Ovis aries: one gene and its partner. The protein of the gene in region 1 interacts with the protein of each later gene in a biochemical or structural test. Links are inferred from orthologs where the notes say so. Each region holds a gene or a part of one and is shown in the gene's direction. Other genes may lie near its edges.

Evidence for each region.
Region 2: the proteins of HDAC3 (region 1) and NR2C1 form a complex in vitro, tested with the Homo sapiens proteins (4 studies listed by BioGRID). The link is inferred for Ovis aries from reciprocal best matches to the Homo sapiens genes HDAC3 and NR2C1.

The regions. Positions count from the first base shown.
Region 1 is NC_056058.1:50,382,613-50,388,494, reverse strand, and holds the start of HDAC3 (histone deacetylase 3), read left to right. Parts: upstream 1-1,825; 5' UTR 1,826-1,879; coding exon 1,880-1,934; intron 1,935-2,041; coding exon 2,042-2,124; intron 2,125-3,435; coding exon 3,436-3,578; intron 3,579-5,870; coding exon 5,871-5,882. Other genes in the region: RELL2 (RELT-like protein 2), read right to left, coding at 233-416. UniProt on the Homo sapiens protein: Histone deacetylase that catalyzes the deacetylation of lysine residues on the N-terminal part of the core histones (H2A, H2B, H3 and H4), and some other non-histone substrates.
Region 2 is NC_056056.1:131,265,704-131,271,768, reverse strand, and holds the start of NR2C1 (nuclear receptor subfamily 2 group C member 1), read left to right. Parts: upstream 1-1,962; 5' UTR 1,963-2,216; intron 2,217-6,065. UniProt on the Homo sapiens protein: Orphan nuclear receptor. Binds the IR7 element in the promoter of its own gene in an autoregulatory negative feedback mechanism. Primarily repressor of a broad range of genes.

The DNA.
Region 1 (5,882 bases):
CCACCAGTGGGCCCTTCCCACCCACGGTGCCTTCTCTAGCCCTGCTTTCAGGGTGGTGGCACCCCACTTGCTGACTCAAGAAAGTATTACTAGGCCTCCTATCTTGGTCAGGATTTAGCCTGGGTCTGTTGGCTAGGTCAGGATTTAGCCTGGGTCTGTTGGCCAGGAAGAGGTGTGGGGAGAAGGGTGAAGGAGGAAGGTGATTGAGCCAGGTTTTAGGCTGTTCACTCACGGGGCTGGAGCTGGGCGTCATCAGGCTCCGAGCCCCTTGAGGTGCGGCAGCGGTAGCCCTTCTTCTTGAGCACGTGGCAGATCATGAAGCCTACAAGGCCCATGAGGAAGAAGACCAGCACAAGCAGGAAGAGCATGTACAGCCCATGCTGGGGCGGTTCCAGGTCAGGCTGTGGTTCCGACATGAGGCCCTGGCGGGTGAGCACGGGCCAGGGCGGCTCCTGGAGTTAGGGGGCTGCAGCTAAGGATTGGGGGAGGGTTAGGAATGCCGTCCTCAGGATTCAAGACAGACAAGCCTCTGAGGTCTGGCCCCACCCCCTACCCAACCAAGGAGCTGTCCGTGCCAGGGGTGCTGGTCCGGGCCAGGGGTGTCAGACGGCGGCTGCGCAGGCCCTCTTCCACGACCCTGGTCCCGCTCCCCCGACGCCCAGAGCTCCCCGTTTCCAGCCTGTCCTGAGCTTTCGTCCCTCCCAAGGACACTGCAGAGCGAGATGGGACGGAATTCTCAGGCGGCCGGCACAAGGATAGTGCCTGAGTCAGCGTCCACATCTCTTCTGCGCGGGCCTGAGTCAGGCCTCCGCAGCCCCTTCCCCTTCCTGTACTGTCTCACACACACCCCCTCCCGCCTTTCGGGTTCTCCCGTCCTGACCACCTGGCCCACCCGGTACCGGTGGTTTGGTTCTGGCTCCGGCTCCGGCTCCGGTTCCAGGGGCGTCCTAGTCCGGCTCAGGGCCCCCGACGCCCTCCCGGCGCTCATCCCTTGCTTCCTTCCCCTCCCCCCTTCGCCGCCTCAAGGGCTCCGGGCTGCGGCTGCAGATACCCGTGCCGCGGCAGGGGTGGGGGGAGGGAAGGATGGAAAGGGATGAGGGCTGGTTGGGACCGGCGACAGGCTCCGGACAACTCCAGCCGTGGAAAGGGAAGGAGAAGGGGGGCGCTGCCGCAGCCGCTCTGGGTCTCCAAAAGCCTTCGATCGCCGGCCGGGGACCAGGGGGCGGAGCCCAGGTGTGCGGGGCGGAGAGAGAGAGCCTTGCGCGCTTCTGAGCGCAAGTGTGGTGCGCGCGTGACTGCGCAGCCCCCCCACTGCCGCCCGGTGACGGTGCGGTGCCGAGTCTGGGTCCGGGTGAGGAGGACGGGCAGTCAGGCGAGAGCGCTCTCCACCGGTCTATCGGGCACGCCTGGCTTGGCTCCAGCCCTCAGATGCCCCGGCTGGATGTGTAGCTGGGAATCTTCCCCAGCGGGCCGGGGGAAGCTTGCTTTCTGCACCTGAGAGGGTCAGCGTGGCCGGTTCTCCGGAGCCTCCTAGAGAGGCGACACGGCCTGCGCCCCGCTTGGGACAGGTAGCTGGACAGGATGGCTCGGCTTCCCGAGGATTTGACCCCCGCCGGGAAGGAAATGGCCCTGTCATCCTAGGACCAATGCTACTGTCCTCCGGCCAAGCCCAGACTCTCACGCCCCAGACCTAGAAGGGCGGAGCTAGCCGAGGGCAGAACTCCGCAGGAGGCGTGGCCTGGGCGTGGTCTACGGGAGTCGAGCTTGGGTTTCCTGGTTCTGCAGAGGCAGGCAGCGTGCTTACGCAGCACGCAAGGCCGGGGGTGGGGCAGGCGGCCAGGCTGGCGGCGGAGGTGCGGGGCCTGGTCCCGCCGGCACCATGGCCAAGACTGTGGCCTATTTCTACGACCCCGACGTGGGCAACTTCCACTACGGTGAGAGAGCAACATTGCACGCGAGGGATTTCGGGACGCGGAGGTTTCGAAGCCGGGCCTACAACTCCAGGGATGGGTACTGACGAACTCTCTTCTCCCACCCCCAGGGGCTGGTCACCCTATGAAGCCTCATCGCTTGGCATTGACTCATAGTCTGGTCCTGCACTACGGCCTCTATAAGAAGATGATCGTGAGTCTCACGGCTTCTCCTGGGGATTGAGGGTGGGGACGAGCTGCGGCCTTAGGGATAGGTAGGCTGCACTGAATGCATCAAGAGTGACCCAGCCCTGGCAGGGGGGAGGTGGATAGAAGGAACAAGGAGCACCCCCATATGCAGAGTGTTGGTGGATGCATCCACTGACTTAATGAAAGTTAGTTTTTAGGTCGGCCACCTTTTGACCTTAAGTGGACCAAACTTTGGCCTACGGTTAGGGTGGAGTGGAGCTGGTTTGCAGACGCAGAGTATTTCCCTCCCTTGAATCTTAGGACAGTTCTGTGGCCTCAGAGAAGGGAAAGCAGCTGGCCCAGTGTATCTGGATATGAGGTTTACCCTCATTTCCCACCCCTTTTCCTCTTCCACCTCTCCACCGCCAAGCTAGAGTTCTAGGGAGGACTTTGCAGCCCTGTGTGTAAATGTGTGTGTGGAGGACAGTAGGAGGTGTCCTGGATATTCCCTTTTCAATCTAGAATACCCCCGCCCACACACAGAGTTCCACTTAATTACTACTCATCCCTCCATCTCCCCCTGTGTACACATCCTGTCTGTCCCTGGCTTGGAATTTATAGCAGTGTGATATGTGATCATAACATACGGCCCTTATGGATCGCAAAGGGGATTAGCCAGCAGTATGAATGAGTGTCCACTGCTTGTGCTGAGACACAGACTAGTGAATTGATCATAGAAATGACTGAGGTGATGTTAATGCCTGGATCTCTGACTCTCGAAATTGTTTGCCTATGTGTGCCTATGAGCATTTTCTGGGGAGAGAAAATTTTTTGCTCTTGTCCAGTTTCTAAAGTGTGTGACCCTCTCAAGAGATAATAAATCTCTGGCTTAGCATCTTGAGTTTTAATTAGAAGGTTGTTTTGTGTCCCATATTATTTCATTTCAAAATTAAGAAGAACTCAGAGGAGAGAGAGGACAGAGTCAGCACCCAGGGGAAATGAGTATGAAGAGAATCAGGAATAGGAGATCCAGGGAACAGGGCAGGTGAAGGGAGTTAAGGTTTGAGAAGGGAGAAAAGGCTGGGCTGGAGGTATGAAGGAAAAGGCAGGCCCAGTGGTCTTTAGAGGGCTTGATCATAAGAAACTCCCAAGCTAATCAGAGTCTTTCTTTTTCACGGACCTTTGTCTCATAGAATAACAAGGATTGGAGAGGAGGGACAAGGGGACTGCTGTGTGTGGTTTTAGACAGTCCCCAGTGCTGGGCTCAGTGTGGTCAGTTTCAGCCGGGTGAGTAGGACTGACCCTGCCTGACTTTATCTTGTGTTTCCCTCTCAAGGTCTTCAAGCCTTACCAGGCCTCCCAGCATGACATGTGCCGCTTCCACTCTGAGGACTACATTGACTTCCTGCAGAGAGTCAGCCCCACCAATATGCAAGGCTTTACCAAGAGCCTTAATGCCTTCAATGTGGGTGATGACTGGTAAGGGGAGAACTGGGACCTTTGATGCCAGGCACCTTGATGCCAGGCATTTCAGTGAGAATACTCAAGTGAGGTCTTATGGCAGCAGTGGGAAGATATGTGGGGGGGCGGGGGGATACTTGTCAATGAATCATCATTTACTAATTTGCTTATTCAACAAATATTGATTGGTTATTGGCTCTAGGCCAGGCCCTATGCTAAGTGCTAGGGATATAATGATAAATAATACCAACACAATTTTAATATAGCCCTTGTGCTGAGTCCTCTAGAAGAGAGGTACATGACAGACTAAGAGAGGGCAGACATGGGAGAATTATCTAGCCTGGGCTGGGGCAGGTCAATGGCGGCTTCCTAGAGGAAGTAATGAAGATTGGGCTGAGTTCGAAAGAAAGTAGGATGTAATTAGGTGAAAGATAGTTGGGAGGATGGAGAATGAGGGGAGGAATGGGAAGTAGGGACAACATGCCCTAAGGGTCTGTATCAGGACAGAGTGTGACTTATTTAAGGAACAGAAAAAAGGCCACCCACAATATCTGAAAAGTGATCTGAATTGTGTCTAAAGAGATAGGTAGGGTCTTTAAAAAATAAACAACCCTATTATGAATTGGGATTTTTAACTTCTAGAGTAGGGAGAAGTCATTGGAGGGTTTTAAAAAGCAAGAGAGTGTTAGGTACAATCACGTTTATGTCGAGCTTATTTCATATGAGAAGTCAGCTCAGAGTTAGGTCTTGTGGGGAAAAGGTGGCCAACAAAGATAGCCATGATCCTTGCTTCCATTCTAGTCTGCATCCACTAAAAGATAGTGACCACAACAGCTGCCATCTGCTCCATTCATTTTTAAACTTTATATTTATTAGAGAAAATTTTAAACATTTCTGCAAGTAGAAATACAGTGAACCCCCGTCTATCCATCACCCAGCTGCAGCACTTAGACCAGATGGCTAATCTTGCTTCATCTGTGTCCCCGCACGTTAGGTTATTTTAAAGCTAATTTGAGATGTCACTCCCTTTTGTTTATAAATATGTTACTATATATCTCCAAATGATACTCTTTAAAAAAAATGCATAGTATTCATCACACCTGAAAAATCAACAGTAATTCATATCATCAAATATGCAGTCAGTACTTAAATTTCTCCAATTGTCTCACATTTTTTTCTTTTTTTCAGTTGATTTATTTAAATTAGGATTTAAACAAGGTCCACACTCCATCTCATAAGACTTTTAACCCTTAATGTTTCCTTCTCGCCCTTGAATTTATTTATTTATTTTTGCCATGCCTTGGCTTGAAGGATCTTAGTTCCCTGACCAGGGATTGAACCCAGGCCCCCAGCAGTGAAAACATGGAGTCCTAACCATTAGATTGCCAGGGAATTCCTTGAATTTATCTTTTGAAGAAATGAGGCTGTTGATCCTATAGTTTCCTACAACAGCTACAGTTTCTTGAGTAATTTACTCTGCTGTGCTGAGGATTACTGGTATATCCACTTAATTCTTACACCAACCCTGAGATGTAATAGTCCTTTTCATGATGGTAAGCATTAAGTACATACATTGAAATTTGAGGAGATTTTGATAACTTAGCCTGAACAGTGGCAGTGGCAGGATTCAGGTCCAGAGGCTAGGTTTTTAAACACTACACCAATTGGTTTCCCTGAAGAGCCTTCCAATAGAAGCAGCCTCGGCTGGAGGATTGAGGTCGACTCCTTAGGTTGGCATTGAGCACCTTCCCAACCTTATCCCCACATCTCTGCTGCACAGGGTGTCTTCTCAGAATACCCTTTGTTCTCCAGTCAGCCTCTCCAGGGCCTTCTCAGCCTTCAAGCCACCACAAAGCTTCATGCCATGAAGGCTTTCTTGACCACACCAGCCCCAGAGGTCTGTCCCGCACACACTGCCCTGCTTGTTGGGTTGTTCAGGCACATGCTGTCTTGGGAGCTTTCTTGTTTTTTGTGTTATTGCTCCTGCTAGTTTTGAGTTCGCTTTATAGGTCTGGGAATGTAAAGTCCACCCTCAGGCCACAGCCTTGGGCCCTGTGAATGCTCTTGGTGCAATTAGCACTACTGTCACTGCGCTTCTCTACTTCCCATCCAGTGCCTTGAACAAGTTTCAGTATGTGGTTTCGTCCACAATATTTGTTGAATAAATTTGCAGATAACTTGGGTATGTATGTAGGAGGGGCAGACGGGGTTACTGAAGAAAGGAGACTACGGGGCTCTGGGCTGGGGAGAAAGGTGAAGGAAGGAAGTGGACAGAGGAAAAAGGGCTCCAACTTGCTCTTCTTCTTGCAGCCCCGTGTTTCC
Region 2 (6,065 bases), on another chromosome or scaffold:
GAGCCTATGCCATTTCTAATGTTATTTTCTAATGGGAATTTTCTAGTTGGATTTTTTTGTTAAGATGTTAAAGTCTCAATATCAAATTCCCCCGTTTTTGAGGGGGTGGTTAGGACCAATGGTGGCAACTTTCTTTTACATGAGTTCATCATAGCATGTTAAGAACCAATCTTGAAATACTATTTTTTCAAATGACATAAATTTACAGAAACACTTACTTTAAAAATGATGTTTGTATCTTATTGTCCATATAGAGATATAGATCCTTTATAAATAAAATATTAGCAGTGTAAATAATGTTATGTATTTATACAAAATAAATTTACTGAATCTACTTTCAGTGTGATGATGTCTTTTAAATCATTTTTTATAGTCATGCAGTTAGAGATGAACCACACTGATCTGTTTTCCTGAATCATAGTTAGGGGAAGCTCTTTTTCACCAACAAAACATATTCCCCGTTTGGATGGTTTCTACATCGAAATGCTACTGTGACCTAAGCAAATTAATTGGCCATAAAGGGGATGACCCCAAGCATCACTGTGGGTGTGCATATTGGGCACTGAGAATAGAGAAACGGTCTCAGATTTCCTTTCTCCATTGGACCTATAGGTAATATACTTTCTTAGCTTTCATCTTTGGGACAGATGTAAGGAGTGGATCCCAGTTTGGGTGGATGGAGTAGCTGTTGTTCAGCTGCTAAATCATGTCCAACTCTCTGGGATTGGATGGACTACAGCACGCTGGGCTCCCATCCTTCACTATCTCCCTGAGTTTGCTCAGTTCATGTCCATTGAGTCAATAATGCCATCCAACCATCTCATCCTCTGCTGGCCTTTCTCCTTTTGCCTTTAGTCTTTCCCAGCATCAGGGTCTGTTCCAAAGAATCGGCTCTTCACATCAAGTGGTCAAAGAACTGCAGCTTCAGCTTTAGCATCAGTCCCTCCAATGAACATTTCAGGGTTGATTTCCTTTAGGACTCGACTTCAAGGATGGATGGAGGAGGGGTGATTTAAAACCACTAATTACACAACAAATGATACTAGAAGGAAGAGGGTGACTTCTAGAGAATTCGACATAAAGAGTGTTTTCACTTGTTAGGGGTTGTTGCATGCCCCTTTTGTTGCCCAGATGCCTAGTTCCAGGGGGAAATGACAGAGGAGATTTTCTCCTTATCAGTGCACCTTGTTTTTCCTGACTTGGGTTTCTGGCCTGAATGCGTGACTGCTTTTCTAGGGCAAATCAAAACTAAGACATTAAAAAATAAATAAGACCTTTTGAGGACCCCTGCAAGACCAAACCACACAGCACTCTGCAAACATGGCGGCTCTTGCTACCACATCTTGGTGCTTCAGGGGCCACTATCAGAATGGGATGTTCTGTCAACACTTTATTTCACAAATCTGTATTTACCATTAGGCACTGTCCCATAAGCTTGGGAATACACCAGTGAACAAAACAGACTAAAGCCAGTCTTCTGAAAGTTTTCATTCTATGTGATTCTACTCTGGCTCCATTTAGCTACTATGTTATTTACTCACAAAAGTTGATCAGTAAAACTTAGCCTTACTCAACAGGGCTATACTCCAGCTTATTTAAGGGAATTTGAAATATTTTATTGGGATCTATCCAGTTTTGTTAAGTGTTCTAATAAACCATTTAGTCTAAGGCAAGAGCCTGTGACAAAGCCCAGTTTCCCACAAATTAGAGACCGAACTGTCTAAAACTGATTAGGTCATCTATCTTGGCTCCAATCTGAACAGTCTCAAAATTTCCTTTAAGGATCGCCTTTTGCAAACAGGATGCTAAGCGCACGTGTCTTCTCCAAGTCCCAGATAAGGGAAGCGCAGCTATGCCGGAGCAGTCTCCCTCCTACGCGATAGGGGGCAGTCGACTTCCAGAGACTGGGTTCTCTCAACCCTCCACCCGGGGAACGTCACGACCGCCTCTCGCCGCCTCTCCACTCCACTGGTGCGCAGGCGCGGACGGGAGCGCGCACCGAGCCGCTGAGGGAGGGGGTCAGGAACTCTGACCCCCCCCCGCCCCCAAATACACAAACCCAGAAAGCTCCGTCTCCACTTTTTTAACCCTCCCCGCTCCAGCTTTTTCCAGTCTGTTTGCCTGGAGGCCCCCTACCCCATCCCGTCCCAGCAGCCGCCGCACAGGGCTGCCCGGTTTACGCCCAGCGTAGGACGCCACTCGGCAGAGAAGCGCCGGTAAGAAGGGACGGGTGAGGAGAAAAGCGGCCGCAGCGGCGCCCGGGAGGAAGGCGGGGGGCCCTGGGAAGGTCCCTTCCTCCCAACTGCCAACGGGCGCGCCCCCAGGCCCCTCAGCAGCCTGAGGCTTCGGCCGGCAGAACCCGCTCTTCGGCATCCGCGGCGCGCTACTCGGGGCGGGCTGGGAGAGCGGCCGGAGCAGCGGGGCCGAGTGCGCGGGGCTCCGAGAAAGGCCGAGGCGGGAGCCGGAGCCGGGAGCGGTGTCCAGAGCCCGGAGCGGGGCCGTGTCGGTGGGCTCACGAGGGAGTCGGCGAGCGGCTCGGCGCGCACGGCAGCTTCTCCCGCGGCACCTCTGACCTTTCACCTACAGGGAACGCTTCCGTCTTGGCGCGGGCGCCGCTTCCCCAGCCTCCGGGAGCCGCGCTCTGCCGCCGGGCCCGGGGTCGGAGTGGGCTCTAGCGCCTGCGGAACGTGGGAGAGGCCGGCCTGGCGGCGAGCCGAGGCCCGGATCCCTTTTACCACGAGCCTCTGACTTGTTTCTGTGTTTTTACTGGATCGACGGAATGACGCTCTCTACTTCACAGCCGATGGCGCGGGAGCGGCCGCTGCCTTTGGATCTCTCTCTTTAGAGAAAGAAAAGGCAACGGCCGAATGTCCTCACTGCAGTGCGCGTCCAAGCTTCCTGCATCTCTTTTGTTAAGAAAGTCTGCTTCCAGCTCTTGCAGATACCGTTTTATGAATGGCAAATGTTGCCAGGTTGTTTTGTAACCTTCGCTATATAGGTCAACTGTTAAAAAATAATTGCTGGAAAGGAAAAACAAAGAGGCTTGAAATTAAGGCCTTTAGGGTTTTTGTGCCTCGGAACTTAATGGACCTTCGACTTTGAGGGTTTTAGAACAATGCCTGCTGTGTGGTTGGTTTTAGATTTTAATTGTATGTCAGTTGGGTAGATGTACAATAAAGAAGGTATTTGTGTTTATTTTTAAAATGGATCGCAGAAAATGTAATTTCATCATTCTTTGTAGGAGCATTTCAGCTTTTTTAAAGGAGATCAAAGGCAGAAAACATTCCCAAAATATGTACTCTTTGTGTGTGCTACACAATATAATTCCTACTATTGTTGGAGAGAAGAAAGGAAAGAAATCGTATATAAGAAAGGATTAATAGTTTATATAATCATGTACCTTTTTTGAGTCATAGAACCCTCTGCAACCTTTTTAAATCTTTTATGAAAGCCATAGACTGTCTCTAGAAAAATGCACCCTTGCATAAAATTTTGTAAGTAAATAGAAGTTTCACAACTGAGTTTTAAAGATGGGAGAATTTAAATGAGGGAGGAGGAGCTTGGAGTTGTACATTGGGGAATAAAGAACATTCCAGTTTGTCCTGAAGGAGTCCCCTCTGGGACTGGTGAGATGAAATAGGAAGATGGGGAAGTCAAACTATAAAGGAATGCTCCTTTGTGTCTGCAGTGGCAGGCGTGTTTATAAGGACTTAGTAAATACTGAAAAACTACCAGGAGAAGGACTGAAACTTTATTCTTTGACCGTTAAAGAGGCACTGATACTTATGAAACAGGAGAATAAGGATGTGTTTCAGTTCTGTAAGCATCCTGAGATTTTGCTGTTGGTCAGAAGAGCTGACACAGATGATTCTTGCCTTCTAGGGGTTTTTCATAGACGCAAAGTTGAATATATTAAATATTCATCCAGGAAAGTTATTTCTGCCAGTTGCTGAAATTATACTGAAAGGATTCTTAACCTGAAGACCTTGGGCTGGCCATAGGAGAGTTTACGAACTCCTTGAAATTCAGCATAGCATATATCATCAGTTGTAGAGTGAATGAATGTGAACCTGTTTTCTTGTGAGGGAAGCCTTAACTTCTATCAGATTTTCTTTTATTTTTTATTTTTGGTTGCGCTGGGACTTTGTTGCTGCACCTTGCTTTTTCTAGTCGCAGTGCCCAGGCTTCTCACTGAAGTGTTTTCTTGTTGCGGAGTGTGGGCTGTAGTGTGAGCTCAGTAGTTGCAGCACACGAACTCAGTAGTTGTAGTTAATGGACTTAGTTACTTCATGATGTGTGGAATAGTCCCAGACCAGGAATCAAATCCATGTTCCCTGCATTAGCAGGTGGATTCCTATCCACTGTACCACCAGGGAAGTCCCAGATTTTCAAATCTATGTTTGACCCACCCTACCAGGAAAAAAAAAAATTGTTTTGCATCATATTTTCAAGCATTTTTTGACTGCTACACAAAAAAAAGGTTTTCCATCATGACTTAACACAGATTAAACTGAAATAAGTCCTTACCCTCACTATACTTGATGCAGCATTTTCTATTCTAATTTCTTTCTTTTTTAAAAGAAGAAAATTTTGACCTACTATATTTCCCCATCCACAAGTGGCTCACAGCAAGGAGTTTGCAAAATACTACTTTGTAACAAGAGCCTACAGTTGGTTGATGGGAGTAGGGCTGGTGGAGAAAGAAAATGGACTGTTCATGATGTACTCAAAGAGCACAGACTTAAAATTGTGAACCTGAATGGAAGGAGGATGACACCACTGTTGTTGTTCAGTAAATAAATCATTTCTGACTCTTGCAACCCCATGGACTGCAGCATGCCAGGCTTCCCTGTCCTTCACTATATCCTGGTGTTTAGATTTATCTCCATTGATTCATTGGTGGTATCTAACCATCTCATCCTTTGCTCTACCCTCTTCTCCTTTTGCCTTCAGTCTTTCCCAGCATCAGGGTATTTTCCAGTGAGTCGGCTCCTCGCATCAGGTGGCCAAAGTGTTGCAGCTTCAGCATCAGTCTTTCAGGTGAATATTCAGGGTTGATGTCCTTTAGGATTGACTGATTTGATCTTGCTGTCCAAGGGACTCTCAAGAGTCTTCTCCAGCAGCACTTTGGAAAGCATCAATTCTTTGATGCTCTGCTTTCTTTTGGTCCAACTATCACATCTGCCCATGACTACTGGAAAAACCATAGCTTTCATGGATCACAGCCTTGTCATGGTGAAAGGGCTTGCTTGCATAACTCAATAAAGCTATGAACCGTGCCATGAAGGGCCACCCAAGACAAATGGGACATAGTGGAGAGTTCTGACGAAACATGGTCCACTGGAGGAGGGAATGACAAACCACTGCAGTATTCTTGCTATGAGAGCCCCATGAACAAATTCAAATGGCATCACTGAGGGTATATTTTTTCCTGTGGGGAAGATACATAGACATGAGATTGAGGTAAATGTGAAAAAAGAAGAATCAGAGGCAAAAATCTAAGACTGTATGTCTTCTGTATCTTAATTAGCTCTAGAGTAGTAAAGGCAGCATCCTCCTGTTTTTTTGCTTTGTCCCTGAGGTTGGTAAAAACGTTTATCCTTCAGTGCCTGTTTCAAATGTCTCTTCTGTAAGATTTTCCCCAGACCCTCCGACTCCGGTGTGATGGTTCTCCTGACCTGTTGCTCATTTATTGAGCACTTTGTTATTCAGCTGTCAGGGAAAACATTTTACCTGTAAGAGACCATTGTACACCGATACATATGTGTGTGTGTGTGTGTGTGTGTGTGTGTGTGTGTGTGTGTGTGTGTGTGTGTGTATAGATGTTGATATATTGGCAAATAGATGGGTGAAAAGTGGAAACAGTGTCAAATTTTTTTTCTCGGGTTCCAGAATCACTGAAGATGGTGACTACACCCACAAAATTAAAAGATGCTTGCTCCTTGGAAGAAAAGCCATGGCAAACGTAGACGGCATATTAAAGAGCAGAGATATCACTTTGCCGACAGAGGTCCATTTGGTCAAAGCTATGGTTTTTCCGGTAGTCATTGGTGCCAATGTGAGAG